3 linked regions of the Drosophila melanogaster genome follow. The protein of the gene in region 1 interacts with the protein of each later gene in a biochemical or structural test. Each region holds a gene or a part of one and is shown on either strand. Other genes may lie near its edges.

Region 1 (3,935 bases):
GCAATAATGTGAAGAATCTCTGGGTGGATTTCGTCAACGATCTGCCCGTTAACGAGTTACTGGTCAGCAAGGCAGAAAACCGTCCCAATCTTCACGTGGAAAGCCAACTGATCTTCACCCAGCCCCTCACTGTGGGTCACTACGAAGCGGGCAACGGAAATGGGCTGCTGGATAAATATTACAAGAAAAAGCGGGGTGTCGAATCGAATGACATTCATGATTGGCAGCAGCTGCAGGAAAATGTGGCAGCTATTAAAAACAGATTGGCCAGTATGTTAAAAACACATTAATACAAATTCTCCTTTAGTCATGTGCATTAAATTCAACCAACAGAGCCGCCTAAAGTGCTGGAAGGCTTTGCTGTGCTGCAGAAATTACCTCATAAGGCCTCGCACATGAAGATCATCTCCGTGGACAACGAGGACGTACTGGCCATCTGGGAGCAGATGCCCAGCGAAGTAGGGACTACTTACACATGGCAACCGGATATACATCTTTTTGGGCGAAGTTCAAGTAAGTTATGTAGATTTATTTGCATATAAACGTATTTTAAAATCAAGTAGCATATTCAACCTTAAATAGGGACAAATTCGAAATCTCAAATATTAGAAATACATTTTAAATTTAGCTTTAAAATTCATGCGTAAATGCTATGAACACTCATACCAGAACTGTGAGTAAATACATTTTACAAGTGGGCGGCACAGAACGCAGACGTTTGAACACGGAAAAAATAATACGATAAATACGAGAAATGGTTCAGACAGGCCTACTACATAACTACCTTTTTAGTTTGTCTAATAAGTAAGCTGAGTAATCATTTAAATTGCGAGTATCAGTCGGTCTACTGCTCCAGTTCGTCGCTCTGCACATCGAGGATGGCGCGCAAGATGGACAGCTCCAGCTTGGCGGAGGCACGCGAAGAGAGTCTGTTCATCACATTGGCCACGTACAGCCCGAGAGACTCGTGTCGCGACGAGTTGCATAGATTCTTGAAAAAGGTTGGCGGCAGCGAGTTGTCAAAGTTGCCCAGGTTGATAATCTCGGGTGTATTGGAGGAGGCGGCGTTGATCTTCGGCCCGAAGATAATGTCATTCTTAAAGTCCAGCTCGTCGATGTGTGGCGAAAAGCCGTTTGTGGAAGCCACCGAGGTGGAAGCAATGGTGGCGGCTGTCGATGAGTTCGCTCCCCCACCACCACCGTTTATCTGTTGTGCCGATGGAATGGTGATGATGTTGATACCCGGCGGTGGTGTCTGGTTGTCCTCACGCTCCTTCTTAACCTGCATCAGCTGGGCAGTGGTTGTGTGCACCACATTGTTTCCCGCCGGCAGTTGATCTGGAACGCTGGTGTGCACTGAAGTTGCGGCTGCCGATGAAGCGGCTTGTTTCGGGCTCGTGGTCTTGGTCTGCTTTTTTTGCGCCGATGACGAGGTGTACTCCTCCGAAAGTTTGCGCTTCAAAGAATCTGGCAGCTGAATGGTGGTGCGCGAGGAGCTTGATCTTTGCCCACTGGCTGGCGCCTGTTGCCCAATAGCCGGTTTCGGTGCTGCTGCGGAGCTGGGCGTCTTCTTCACAGTAATTCCCTTCTTTTGCAGTACTGCTGCGGCGGCGGACAGCGAGCTACTTCGCGGTGTGTTGTTAGCCAGTGTGTTGAGCAGCTTTTTCTCCTCGATGGCTGGGCGAGGAGTGTCGACGTTGGGTTTGGCGTACGCCAACCGCTCGTCCTTTTCTGGCGAACCGGTGCTGTGTGACTTTGTGGGGCTTTCGCCGTCGGAGGACGCCGAGCCGGTAGAGTTGGTGTGCTGTCCGTACTGATGGGCGTCATCCTCGTCCTCAGGCTCCTGCACCTCCAGCATTTCGTACTCCTCCACCTCCTCCATGGGTACTTGATCACTGCAGAATAGCAGTAGAAATTTTGTTAGTGTTTCACGGTTAGAGGACTATTTACGCCACTTACTTCTCCTCCTTGATTGAGATTTTAGGCTCCTGATGGATCTGATGCATCAGACTGAAGAGCTTCCACGCCGAATTGCCCTTTAGCTTTTCCTGCTCGTACTTCTTTTGGAGCACTATGAAGATGGAGCGCGATTCGTGCACAGAGAGCTTGTTGAGACGCCCGATCCTGGCCCACGCCTCCTCCTGCTCCTGCTTGCTGGCGCCGCCATTGTTTGGATGCAGCACCTTTTCTTTGGCGATGTCCTGCAGAATCTTGTCCAGTTGGATTGCCATCTTAGTCAGCGACTTGCGGCCCGCTGGTTGCGCGTTCCTGATAATTTTGGAGGCTGTTTTGATAACACGCGACACACGAATTGGTATATGTAACTAGGATCCGCTTGTTTTTCTCTCCGCTTTCGCACCGTTCGCTTCTCTTTTCTTCTGTATTTGGCGTCGGTAAATTGGCGGAAAATGTGACCGTGCAACACGCAAATACTAGAAATGCCGCCTTTTGGTACAGTAACTTAGGGATGAGGGAGATTTTGGCAACATAGATGTTCACAGTTCACAGCTCTCGATGCAGTGAAAATTAAATTTTTATATATTATATTTATCACTATAAATATTAATACTTGCATTATTTTTACTTATATAACAATTATAATGTTTCTCCATAAGGAAAAGTTATTCATTTTGGTAGTCATAACTATCGAAGGAATGGTTTTTGTTTTGTCTTTTTCTATTCTATTCTCATACTTTATTTATTTATTTTATGTAAGGATCCTTACATATCGATAATTCTTAATACCGCTAATTTACGGTAAAACTACCCGTCTATCTTGCTGCCGATAGGGACAAACAAATAACGCAATTTATATTGCAGATGAGAACTCCACGAAATTTAAATTTTATTGAAATACGTTACAGTTTTCGCCACCTCACAACGCCACGATATTTACTTTGTCCTGACCACCTATGCATTTGACCGTTTCCAAGCGCGTAGGCCCATCCGCTCCGGCTGGACTGCTAACCATAAAGGGGAATTCGGCCAGGCCGTAGCAGGCAGCGCCATAATTACCCAGCCGATCTACGGCGATGAGAGCACCCATGAAATCCTTGTGGTGCTTGAGAATGCGGCGAAGGCCCTCTTGAGCTGCCTCAGCCGGAGGTTTTCCCGCCCGCATGGTCTCCACCGCTAGCAGGGAGGGCAGGAAGCGCATCATCACATCTCCATCTCCGGTTGCCACGGCTGCACCCACCTCGTTGTCTGCATAAGCGCCAGCACCCGGAATGGGGGAGTCGCCGACCCGTCCGGGAATCTTGTGCCGCGCCCCGTTGGTGGAGGTGCCGGCGTGGATGTTGCTTTCCACGTCGATGGCGATCATGCCGATGGTATCGTGGTTCTTGCGTCCGATCTCATACTCATTGCGGGCACGGTCCTCCTTCCAGCGGGTCAGCGGAGTCGGCCGCGGCTTATACGGGCCGCAAGAGACCTTGGGATCCGGGTGAACGTTCTTCCAGAAGTTTGGCTGGCAGTTCTCAGCCGTCCACTGTAACCACATGTCCTTCGACTCCGGCGTGACCAGCGACTCTGATTCGAATCCCATAGCATTGGCGAAAGCTGACGCCGCATCACCCACCAGCATGGTGTGCTGCGTGTGTTCCAGAACATGCCGGGCTACCTTAATGGCATCCTTAATGCGTCGCAGACCAGCCACTGCCCCCACATCCATGGTGGCCCCGTCCATGACCATGGCATCCAGTGTGGTTTCGCCCAACTCGTCCGGCGATCCGCCATAGCCCACCGTTCGGTCACACTGGAGTTTCTCACACTTCGAGCAGCCCTCCACTACCGCATTCCGCGTCTGCCGGAGTCCACCCTTGCTTTGCTTCAGGATTCGCCAGGCGAGCACATTGGCAGCCGTGAAGTTCCAAGTGTTAATGACCATGGGCAGCAGCTCACCCGTCGTCTTATTCGCCTTCACGGCAGTGGTGCCA
Region 2 (3,848 bases), on another chromosome or scaffold:
TGCCGAAAGAACTACTAGTGCGCTGGGATAAACTTAAGGCTCTGGATCTTAGATTCAACCCGTGGAATTGCGACGAATCCAATGACTTCTTGATCAACGTCTTGATAGATCGAATCAACAAGACCACGCCCGTTCTGGCCAAAGATGTCAAATGTGGCGGTCCGAACAAGTTAAACGATGTTACGCTGCTCAGAGTGGCGAATGAACATATGATAGAAAGTTCGACGGGCAGTCTTATATGGGTTGGACTCTTGGTTGTCCTGCTCATCGCGGTGCCGACCATCATTGGTGCTTACGTGATGAAGAGGCGCGGCTGCTTTGGCGTCTTTAGACGTCATGACAGCGGTGCTAGCAGTGCTCTCTATAATAGGACTAGTTTCAACGAGGATTTCCATATTTAACTTTCTTTTTGTATAATAATTAAAGCCTTGAAGCCTTATTATTCTGTTAGAGCGCTGGTAATTTGGCGTAAATCTGTAAATACACTTACATAAATTAAGTAAACGTTGATTGTTTTACACCCTTAGTTTTATTTACGGCTATTTTGCTTTAGATTAGATACCAAGATCTCTTGTTTTAAAATTCTTAGTTAAAGTCAAACGAGAATACCGAACGTTAATTTCGAACTAAGCCCGATTGAAAACCATTGAAATAGGGATGCTCCAAAATGTCCTTGGCGGAAATGCGATGAACTGGATCGTAGATTAACATCTTTTGTATGAGATCAATACCATTCGCATCGAGATTCTTTAACTGATTGGTCAATTGGTTCGTGGACCAGCAGGGGAACGTGTTCTTATAGTCGGGTAGCGAAGTAACGCCCGGCCAAATGTCTTCGGTAGGTGTTTTCAGAATTCTGCAATCAATGAGTGTGAGTATCACAGGGAATAGAAAGTAAATTACCTGTGGTTACCTAAACATTCTAAACAACTGGTCAATTTCCGAGTCACCCTGGAATAGCGGCTTTCTCGTTGCCATCTCCGCGAATATGCATCCAATGGACCAGATATCGACGGGACAGGAATACCGGGGTGAACCCAGTAGCACCTCCGGCGCTCTGTACCACAAGGTAACAATCTCGTGCGTATAAATGCGCACCGGAATGCCAAAGGATCGGCCAAGTCCAAAGTCGGCGACTTTTATGAGGCCACTCTTGTCGATTAGTAAGTTCTGCGGCTTAAGATCACGGTGAAGTACTCGCCGACGATGGCAGAAAAGAATGGCGCTAGTTATTTGGTACAAATAGCTACGGACCAATTCACTCTCCATGTGCTTATCAACTGGCAGCGAATCCATGTATTTCTTGAGGTCCATCGATAGGAATTCAAAGATCAAGTATATGCGGTTCTCCTCCATCAAAACATCCTCCAAACAGACAATGTTTTCATGTTTCAACTCCTTAAGCAACGAAATTTCTCTGTAATGGATATTAAATATTACTACATTATAGAAAAAACATGTGATTAAAGTATTTTAGTTATTGGTCTATCAGTTGAACCAGAAAGTATTCGCAGGCTTCCAATTAATAAACATAAATAGAAAGTATGATGATGTACACATGAGCATAAGTACGCATATAGGATTGTACATACACACACATATGTATGATGAACATAAGCCGTAACATAATTATGCTAGACTTCCACAGTATAAATTAAAAACAATATTGCAAAATCTTCAAACCAACCCATAAGATGTCAAGGAACATACTTTCAATTAAGCATATAAGCCATTTGAATGGAAAAGTCGCGAAAGAACATGAAACATTTTGAGGCTTGGGCGTCCAAGCCGCGGCATTTTACCTGATCGCGGTTGATGGAACGCCTTCGTCGTCGGACTCCAAGCGGATTTTCTTCATTGCCACAATTTGGCCCGTCAGGCGGTTGCGACCCTTATACACCACGCCATATGTGCCCTCGCCAATCTTCTCAATTTTCTCAAAATCCTCCATAATTTATTAAGCTATTTCTTTGCAAGCCACCGACTTTTAAATTAGCGCGTTTTTGACGTATATGCTCTAGTATTACCAGACAGTTTAAACGATGCTAAGCTAGCTACATTTATTCATTTGGAATGTGGGAATGAAACTCAATATTCAGGCAACTTATTGAATTGCTGTATCTTAAAAATGTTGTTAATTTTTTTAAAGTTAATTTTAGTGTACTGTAAAATTCCACGCTTTTTTTTATAGTGATTTCAATTAATTAAGACATCACTTTGTTTGAGTTCGGAGACAAACGTTTCTGCTAATATACTATTAATTAACTTATGAGTTTTTGGTGCAATTAATTTCTATTTTATATCTTTTGAAGGTGAGTACCAGTAGTACGGTACTAAAGAAATTAATTTAAAAAATGTAATTGGAATACCGCAACTGTTTTACTTCATTTTTGTTGTTTCAAAATTACTAAGCTCTTTGTCGATATCTTGACACACCTATATGCATGCCGCAAATGTGCATAACATATATATAACATAGTTTTTTTATTTTTTGCCGACACAGCAGACGATGTAAACATGTCGCTTTTAGGTAGGATTGCAGAGAAAACTTCAAGGCTCAGGTAAGTTAAACTTCTCTAAAGTGTTACTTATCTCTAAAAACACAAATGACTGATCACCCATTTGTTTATTGTAGCTGCCTTCGATTGATGTCGGTGTATCCCACACACTATGTCGAACCAATTGTACAAAAATATAAACAACTAGAGCAAAAGAATGATCTGTCCAAGCTTTACCATGTGCCCATCAAGGCGGCGGTCAACAAATCGTCTGATACCATCTTTCACGACGATACAAAACATAAAATGATCAATTATATAACGAAAAAGGGGAACAGTGCCTTGGCCAGAACGCTTTTGTCCAAGACGCTGGAGCTAATAAAACGAACCCAGACGGAGCACATGAATCTGGCCAAAGGGGAGAAGACAACCATAAACACCAATCCCGAAACGCTTCTGAAACAAGCGGTTGAAAACTGCCGACCGCTCCTTCAAGTGACCGCCATAAAACGTGGTGGTGTCACCTATCAAGTCCCTGTTCCCATCACCACGAAGCGGTCATATTTTCTGGCCATGAAGTGGCTCTTGGAAGCTGCCCGCGAGAAGGAGCGTAAGGTGTCCCTGCCGGAAAAGTTGGCCTGGGAGATTCTCGACGCAGCCCATGGCCAGGGAAGGGTCATCAAGCGAAAGGACGATCTGCACAGGCTGTGCGAAAGCAACCGCGCCTACGCACATTACCGATGGAGCTAAATGCACAACAAACTGTTTTTCCAATGCAATAAACTTTTCATATACCTGTTAATATCTATGATTAGGATTTGTGTCCGGGGAATGTCTTAAGAGAGCGGAATATCGAAATAATTCCTGGATTTATGGGGACTAAAAACGAGGACCTTAGTAAAATTGTATGAAGCTATGATACCATTATAAAAACACATTTCTAATATTTTTTCTTTATTTTTCCTTATACGTTGTTTATAGTAGATTTGAAAATTGGATTTTCCAAATGGTGTTATAGCTATTGAAACCCAAAGTTTTTCTTATTACACTTATACTAAGTTTTTATATAAATTTCTTCAACCCATTTACCTGGTTCGTCGTGTTTTAAGCTTCTGAATTTAATTTAAAATTATAGCACAGCTTAATAACAGAGTCTACTCTTTTTAGAATTTTTCTATTTAATTTCAGTATAAAATGCAATTTTATACAAATAAATTATCCTGATTGTCTCAAAAACATATTTTTTCAAGTGCAAAGTTAAAAAATGTAACCTGTTTATCGCGCAACGACAACGGTGTAAACAGTGCGTTAAGGTTGTCGAGGTGTACGTCTATCGAAGGGACTATCGAT
Region 3 (6,876 bases), on another chromosome or scaffold:
TGGTCCAGCAAAACTCTGCCTATCGTCCAAGCTCTGGCCGGAGGCACACTCTTCTACGTCACCGTCTGCGAGGTGATACCGCGCGAGAAGGCGCGCTGGCACTCGAACTCAACGCGACGCTGGGCGGGATTTGCACAGTTTGCAACTGTGCTCGCCGGCTTTGCGACCATGTGCATCATAAACTTTTATCTTTCTGGTGCGTAGCATTATGTGATTTGCATTTCCCTTTCGACATTGCTGACCTATTTTCTTCGCGCCTTTTCAGATGAGGATTAGACATCTTTTCGTTGAGAAATCGTTTCAGCGCTGTGAGAAAATGTGCCGCTTTTTAAACTTAGAACACTTAGGATAATATTATGGATTGGCAGCTGTTAATCTCTTGTGTAAGACTTGTTACTTGTGCATTTCCAACTAATCTTGTTTTAGGTACATTGTCGATCTGCCGTAGGATAAGTAAAAAGTTCAGTCTTCTCGTCTACATTTATATTTTCTCTTTCTCCAAAGTTTGTGTTATTTTTTATGCTTTTATTATATGTAATAAACCTTACAATTAAGTTGTTAATCAAAAAAAGGGCATCCTCTTTTCCTTTTGATTAATCTTACTTAGCCAACCATTAAACGCAATCATTTTATTACTTTCTGGGGACATCATGTCACTGTTTTAAACGAATTAAAACAACATCTATGTAACTACATCTCTATATGTATGTAAATAGGCATATGTGTATATATATATATAGTGTTTACCTAATCGTGAAATGTTGCTTGGTTGCTCTATTGGTGGTGTATGTGTGAAGAAACGGACACTCATAAATAGCTAAATGTTGGGTTGTTTGGTCTCTGATCTCTCATTTAAGGTCATTTGGGGAACTCCTCTTAGATTTACGATTTTCATGCTAGCAGGGCAACATACTTGGGATGGGAGGGGATTTACAATTACGTGAGATGAGTAGATTAGATCTTATACACTTAAACCAGTGCATATGCATATCTTATCATTCACCTTGATCTTCATTAACAATTTAATTTACAATAGAAACCGAAAATTCGCGCCGAGCTCAGGTGCGTTTATCTGCTGACCTGCGTTGAATCGCCAAACTTAGAACATAAATAAATCTAGTAATTATAGCTCCTCCTTCGCCGCCGCACTAACCCCATTCTCATCCTCGTCCTCATCGTCGTCACCCCATTCGCTAATGAGGCTCTTGACCTTGTCCACGCTGGCTGCTTCACCTGACGTTGCTTCATCACCTGCTTTTGCACTTTCTAGTGTCGGCTTTTCTGCAGTGGTTACATCCTGTGTCTGGTTTGGTTTGTCCTCGACGGCTTCCTTCTCGTCTGCCGTTCTAGTATCTTCATTATTTTCGGCTGCTTTTTCCGCTGCTGGTTCATCAATCTCCATTTGTTCGGTAGATACCTGCGTAGGTGGCACCAGGTCATCCTCGTCCGTTACTGACCTATCTAACGCCTCTGTCGTCGCATTCTCTTCAGATTGAACAATGTCCTTCTCCTGATCAGGTTTCTCGGCCTCGGCAATTAACTCATCTAGCAGCTCTTTGCGTATGTTATCGGCCTCTAGATGCACATCATCCTCGCCCTCAGAGGCAGTTACCGCCTCTCTTAATTCCGCCACGGAATCGGAATGCGGAATTGGTGAATCCTCTTTGATAAATTCCTCTTGATCGTTTTCAAGCTCAGCCTCTTTCTTGATCTGGACCTCGGCCTTCGAAGCCTTCTCGTCCGCCGCTTCTGAGTCCACATCCATTTTCTCGGGCTGACTATTTATATTGGGGACTGCGTCAACTGCATCGTCCGCACTGGTGACAGACTCCTCACTTGCCTTTTCTTCAGTTGCCTCTTCGGGTCCCTTGTGTAGAGACTGGAGAGCCAAGTCAATATCATCTTCTTCCTCGTGTACTGTTGGCTCAGGGTCCTTGTTGGCTAGTTCGGATGCAAGCTCTGCGGTAGCGGGCTTATCGTCGACATCGTCATCGTTCTCATCCTCCGTCCAGTCGCCGGTAAGCTCCTTTAGCTTTTCACTAATGTCATCTCGCGGCTTATCCGATTTTGGCTGTAAGTTGTATGACTCATGTTGTAGATGTACTTGCATAAAAGTGTTTAATAAACTCACCTCCTTGTTGCTCTGTTCTTCAGACTCGGCTATAAGGTTTTCGGCCCATTCCAGGTTGTCAATGGACTCTTTGCTTTCATCAGCAATGTTCTTTTTGGCGCTCTCCACAGAGTCGGCAGCACCCAGTTCGCTATAGATTTGACTGTCATCATATTCCTCTTCGGTGCCGGCCAGGGATTTTTCATCGGTCTCCTGCTTGACGTGCTCCGCTTCTGGCTCACTGAGCACCATTACCACACCGCCGGCAGTGGCGCCTGCTTGCTGCTGGTTAAGCTGTGAGAGAATCTCTTTGCGCTGCTCATCAGTAAGCTCCACCTCATTGCCATCGGCGCCCACGAATTTGACTTCCTGCTGCACCTGTTCAACATCTTCCTCTTGCAGTTGCTCCTGTTGAGCTTGCTGCACTGTGATGGCACTGGTGGCTGGTAGACTTATGTCCGAAAGGATTCGCACTTTGCCAGTCTGCTCTGGTTCCTGCTCTTCGTCTCCTTCGGCCTCTTCCTCCTCGTCTTGCGAGCCGAGGAATTCTTCGTCCGTTTCATCGATAATGCCATCCTCCAAAGCCTGCTCCTTGTGGTAGCTCTTCATGTGTCTGTACAGCTGCAGCTCTTGCTCGAACACCTTGTTGCAGTAGATGCACTGCTGCTTGTTGTCGTCCGTGTGCACCTCGTTTATGTGCGCCTCCAACTCACCCTTGGTCCGGTAAGACTGGTTGCATAGCGCGCACTCGGCAAACGTATACAGCAGCGACTTGGTCTGGTGCTCCATATACATGTGGAAATGCAGTTCCCGGTTGTTGACAGACCTCCACCCGCAATGCTCACAAAGCGCCGGATCAATTGTCTCCTTGTGCGTGTTGATCAGATGGCGTCGGAAGCCTCGGTACGACGGAATGCTAATGGGTCGTCCGTTTACGCCGCATCTCAGGCACAGCCAGGGCCCTGAAATATAGATATTCATTAGTAGTTGTTTTTGGGAACCTATTACCTACAAATGTTGTACTCACCAGTAGTATTCTCTGCTCCCTGAGCGATCAAGGCGTGCATTGTCTTACTATCAATGCGTCTCTTCTGGGCTGCGGCTGTATTTGCTGGTGGATTCGCCCCGGTTCCCTGGTTACCGGTTGTCTGCGAGGTTCCCGACTTTTGCTGAGAGCTAGCCGCCTTCTGTTGTGCTGTGATTAGTGGCGTACTCTTGTCGGCTTTGAAAGAAACGTGCAGTTTCTTGTGTGGCGATGTAGTTGCGGATGACTGGTTCGCCGGGGGTTTTACTGTCGCTGGAGCAGATTTTTCGGTCGGCGCTGCCGGGGTATTGGGCATAATCTTTAGCTTTATGTTTTTGTGGCCCTTTACAATGTGCGGATACTGGCGCAAGACTTCGGCAATGATCTTGGTGTGATTCAGCTTGGCGTTGGAGGAGTCCTTGACAATTATTGTTGGGGTCTGGCTGGGTGAGTCCTGTTTCAAGATAATGGTGGTGGATCCATGTTCTAGTTGGGTCTGTGTACCCTGTGGGGATTGCTGCTTAGATGTAGATGGCTGCGGTGGCATATCATCGTCATCATCGTCCCCGGCATGGACATCATCATAAAGCATTCCTCCATCGTACTCAGGATCGTTATCTCCGTACTCAGCGGCGATTTGCTTTCGCATCCGTTGTTGCTCAGCGAATTCCTTAACCTCTTCCAAACTGGGCTTCTTGGATGGCGGCGATAGCAGGCTTGTCTGTGCTGGTCTCTTGTTATTGTTATAACCCTTTCGCAGCTGCTCGAATGGTGACGTTGGCTCCTGCTTCACATTGCTACTATCTCCATACGGCGAACGATTTGAGCCACCTGATGTTCGGCTCATTGTGTTGCCAGTTGACCCGCGCTGTGTGTTGGCTCGTTGCGCGATGGGTGTGGCTACGTTTCGCGATTGCGGCGAAGGACCCAAGACGCGCTGTTGTGGAAGACCCGAACTGGGCTGTCCAACTGTGCGCCGGCGTATTCCCTTTGGACTAGGCGGCTAAAGAAAATAAAAGGTTACAAAATATTTTCACAAATGATGAATTGCCACCACTCACCCTTTGCTGGCGATTAACGTTCTCCATGGTGCGACGGTGCGCCTCTAGCAGCTTCAACAGCACCGTCATGTTCATTTCCTTGGCGGTGCGCAACAGCTTGCCGTACATTTTAAGCTCAAACTCCAGGGTGCCTGTGTACATGAAGTTGACAATGGGCACCACCACGTCCGCCTGGAACTCGTTGGGCATGATGAGGGCATCGTCGACGATCTCGCAGGTCTGCTCCAGTACATTGAAGTAGTCGGTGCAGGCGCTGAGCACCAGACGGTGTACCTTTAGCTGTGAATTGTCCCGAAACTGCAGCGTCAAATCGCAGTAATCCGTTTTATTAAAGAAGTTCTGCAGCTTCTGCAGGAAGAAGACTCCCCAGTTGTCCACTTTCACGGACTTGACTTCACCCATATTGCTGTGTGCTTGGCTAGTGGCCGTGCTCTCCGTTTCCGTATCCTTATCGTTAGCCTCCCCGTGGTTTCGCTTGCTCTGGCTTCAGGGCGCAACTGTACTCACGCAGGGGTAAGGAGTCGGAAAAAGCGTATTGGGATGGGACGCAGGTGAATGGGTAAAACAAGAAAGAATAACAATTAGTAAGTATGGTATATTCCGCTGTTAGTTTCAAATAGACGCCCGTTGATTTTGGGTTATTCGGTTTATTTTGCTCTGCCGCCACGGCGCGAAATGCAACTCGCAAATATCGATATACGCCTGTGTACGTGTGACAGTTTCGCGGGCGTATGTGTGCGATGTGCGCGTCGCCAGGCTTCTTGTATTATTTATCAGTAATTGTTCATTGTCCGCAATTCTGCAATGTTTTCTTGTAAGTCCAACTTTGGCATCTTTCGGTGGGTGGCATTTTTTGAGCCCTTTTGGCGCGCCTGTCCACTTCACACAACAATGGTTTTTTTGGGGCACGCACAAATCACTTTGACCTCAGCGGCTTGTTTACTGCGTGTCCTTTGATTGAATGTACTTTTTTCAGACAATCGCCGCACAATTGCACTTTTAATACATACATTTCTTTGAATTGCACACTACTTTTGCCGGACAAATTATAATTTTTTTCCAGAGTCAGGTCGCCATATTCTTTTCCATTCATCGTTGGCGTGACAGGGTTGCGCTCGGCAGCTATCGATAGCCATGCGATAACCTCAGTCTCATGCTTAACATTTTTAAGGTGACGTAAACGCAGATGAAGTTAATCGTTAAGTCTAAAAATATTTGAATATGATATACTTTAAGGTTATTGCAGTTTAAGCTAAATCTTACTAAACACAATACATATACTTAAAATACTTTAATAAATATTGTTTTGCAGTTGAAAACAAAATACATTTACTTAAACTATTGAAATTTTGAAAAGTGACATCGTAATGTGTCACATTTCTTGCGCCACCCTTCTTTGCAATCAAAATATATAAAACGGGTCGTCGGCTTGGCCACCACGAGACGTTAAAAACACTTTGATTCTTTTTTGCTTTGATAAAGTTTTAAACCAAAACATAATGAGTGGACGGAACCGCGGCAAAGGAAAGAAGGGTGGAGGAGGACCCTACCGCAATGTCAAAGCGAATCACAATTGTGCCCGCAGCTTTGCTCAGCAGGCCAACGAGCTGGCCAGCAGCAGTAGCAGCGAAAATGAAAGTTCCGACTCGGAATCCTCGGGAGATGGAGCCCAAAATGATCTCGGCCAGCCGCCGGAGTTTGCGGTGGCCATGTGGGACCTCAACCACTGCGATCCAAAGAAGTGTTCGGGCAGGAAACTGGCACGCCTAGGACTCATTTCAAATCTTCGACTGGGTCAGAAGTTTCCTGGCCTTGTCCTCTCGCCCGTTGGCCAGTTGTGTGTAAGTCCGCTGGATCGCGATGTGGTGGCCTCTTCGGGCGTGGCCGTGATCGACTGCTCGTGGGCCAAGCTGGACGAGACGCCCTTTGGAAGGATGCGCAGCCCACATCCGCGACTGCTGCCCTTCTTGGTGGCCGCCAATCCCATCAACTACGGAAAGCCCTGCAAGCTCAGCTGCGTGGAGGCCATAGCCGCCACTCTATACATCTGTGGATTCACGGAAGAGGCTCGCTGGTTTCTGGGCAAGTTCTCATGGGGTCATGCCTTTCTGGAGCTAAACGACAAGCTTCTCAATGCCTATGCAGCCTGCAAGAGCAGCGATGAGATTGTTAAGGTGCAGAATGAGTACCTGGAGAAGGAACAGCAGGAGCGGGATAAGCCTAGGGATCTTCGCGACTTCTATCCCACCAGCAGTAGTAGTAGTAGTAGCGAGACGGAGACCGAGGGCGATGATGAAGACACAAAAGCGAAACCGAAGAACTAATACAAGGTGCTGACATTTATTACCTTATGACAAAACATTTTACTTGTGTTTTAATTTACAATTTGGGAGCAAATTGAGAGCAACCACCGAATTATTGCAAACTGTTTTGATGAAATATTTACTTCAAGTCAAGAAAAGATTATTGCTTACTGTGCATTTCGCACGTACTCGGGATCAACGTTGATAAAGTTGCTCATGCTGAAAAATATTGAGCTGTTCTTTACGAGGAATTTAAGGAAATCCTGCACGTGCGTGAGTAGGTTCTGCATGGACTGCTGATCCAACGCAGAGTAGCTGAGCATTGAGCCAAGGCGGACAAACAGACGCAGCAGGTGAAAAGATCCGTAAAGCTCGGAC

What was found. Proteins that work in one complex are often made in the same cells at the same time.
Region 2: of the proteins of Map60 (region 1) and Cdk1, one has a biochemical effect on the other in vitro, tested with the Drosophila melanogaster proteins (one study listed by BioGRID).
Region 3: the proteins of Map60 (region 1) and Cp190 form a complex in vitro, tested with the Drosophila melanogaster proteins (one study listed by BioGRID).

The regions. Positions count from the first base shown.
Region 1 is NT_033778.4:9,589,325-9,593,259, reverse strand, and holds Map60 (Microtubule-associated protein 60), read right to left. Parts: upstream 2,394-3,935; 5' UTR 2,232-2,393; coding exon 1,960-2,231; intron 1,896-1,959; coding exon 845-1,895; 3' UTR 516-844; downstream 1-515. Other genes in the region: CG1827 (uncharacterized protein), read right to left, coding at 2,876-3,935; clos (closca), read left to right, coding at 1-270, 334-513.
Region 2 is NT_033779.5:10,384,227-10,388,074, forward strand, and holds Cdk1 (Cyclin-dependent kinase 1), read right to left. Parts: upstream 2,037-3,848; 5' UTR 1,952-2,036; coding exon 1,803-1,951; intron 1,418-1,802; coding exon 914-1,417; intron 857-913; coding exon 616-856; 3' UTR 513-615; downstream 1-512. Other genes in the region: CG5096 (uncharacterized protein), read left to right, coding at 1-401; mRpS7 (mitochondrial ribosomal protein S7), read left to right, coding at 2,518-2,561, 2,636-3,248. UniProt on the Drosophila melanogaster protein: Plays a key role in the control of the eukaryotic cell cycle. Required for entry into S-phase and mitosis.
Region 3 is NT_033777.3:15,269,920-15,276,795, forward strand, and holds Cp190 (centrosomal protein 190kD), read right to left. Parts: upstream 5,323-6,876; 5' UTR 5,206-5,322; intron 4,872-5,205; exon of another isoform or gene 4,693-4,871; 5' UTR 4,598-4,692; coding exon 4,196-4,597; intron 4,138-4,195; coding exon 3,138-4,137; intron 3,073-3,137; coding exon 2,132-3,072; intron 2,072-2,131; coding exon 1,124-2,071; 3' UTR 513-1,123; downstream 1-512. Other genes in the region: Zip88E (Zinc/iron regulated transporter-related protein 88E), read left to right, coding at 1-196, 266-276; CG4338 (uncharacterized protein), read left to right, coding at 5,695-6,519; MRG15 (MORF-related gene 15), read right to left, coding at 6,666-6,876. UniProt on the Drosophila melanogaster protein: Plays a central role in chromatin domain organization and boundary function through recruitment by a range of insulator DNA-binding proteins, including ZIPIC, pita, CTCF, su(Hw), cliff and others.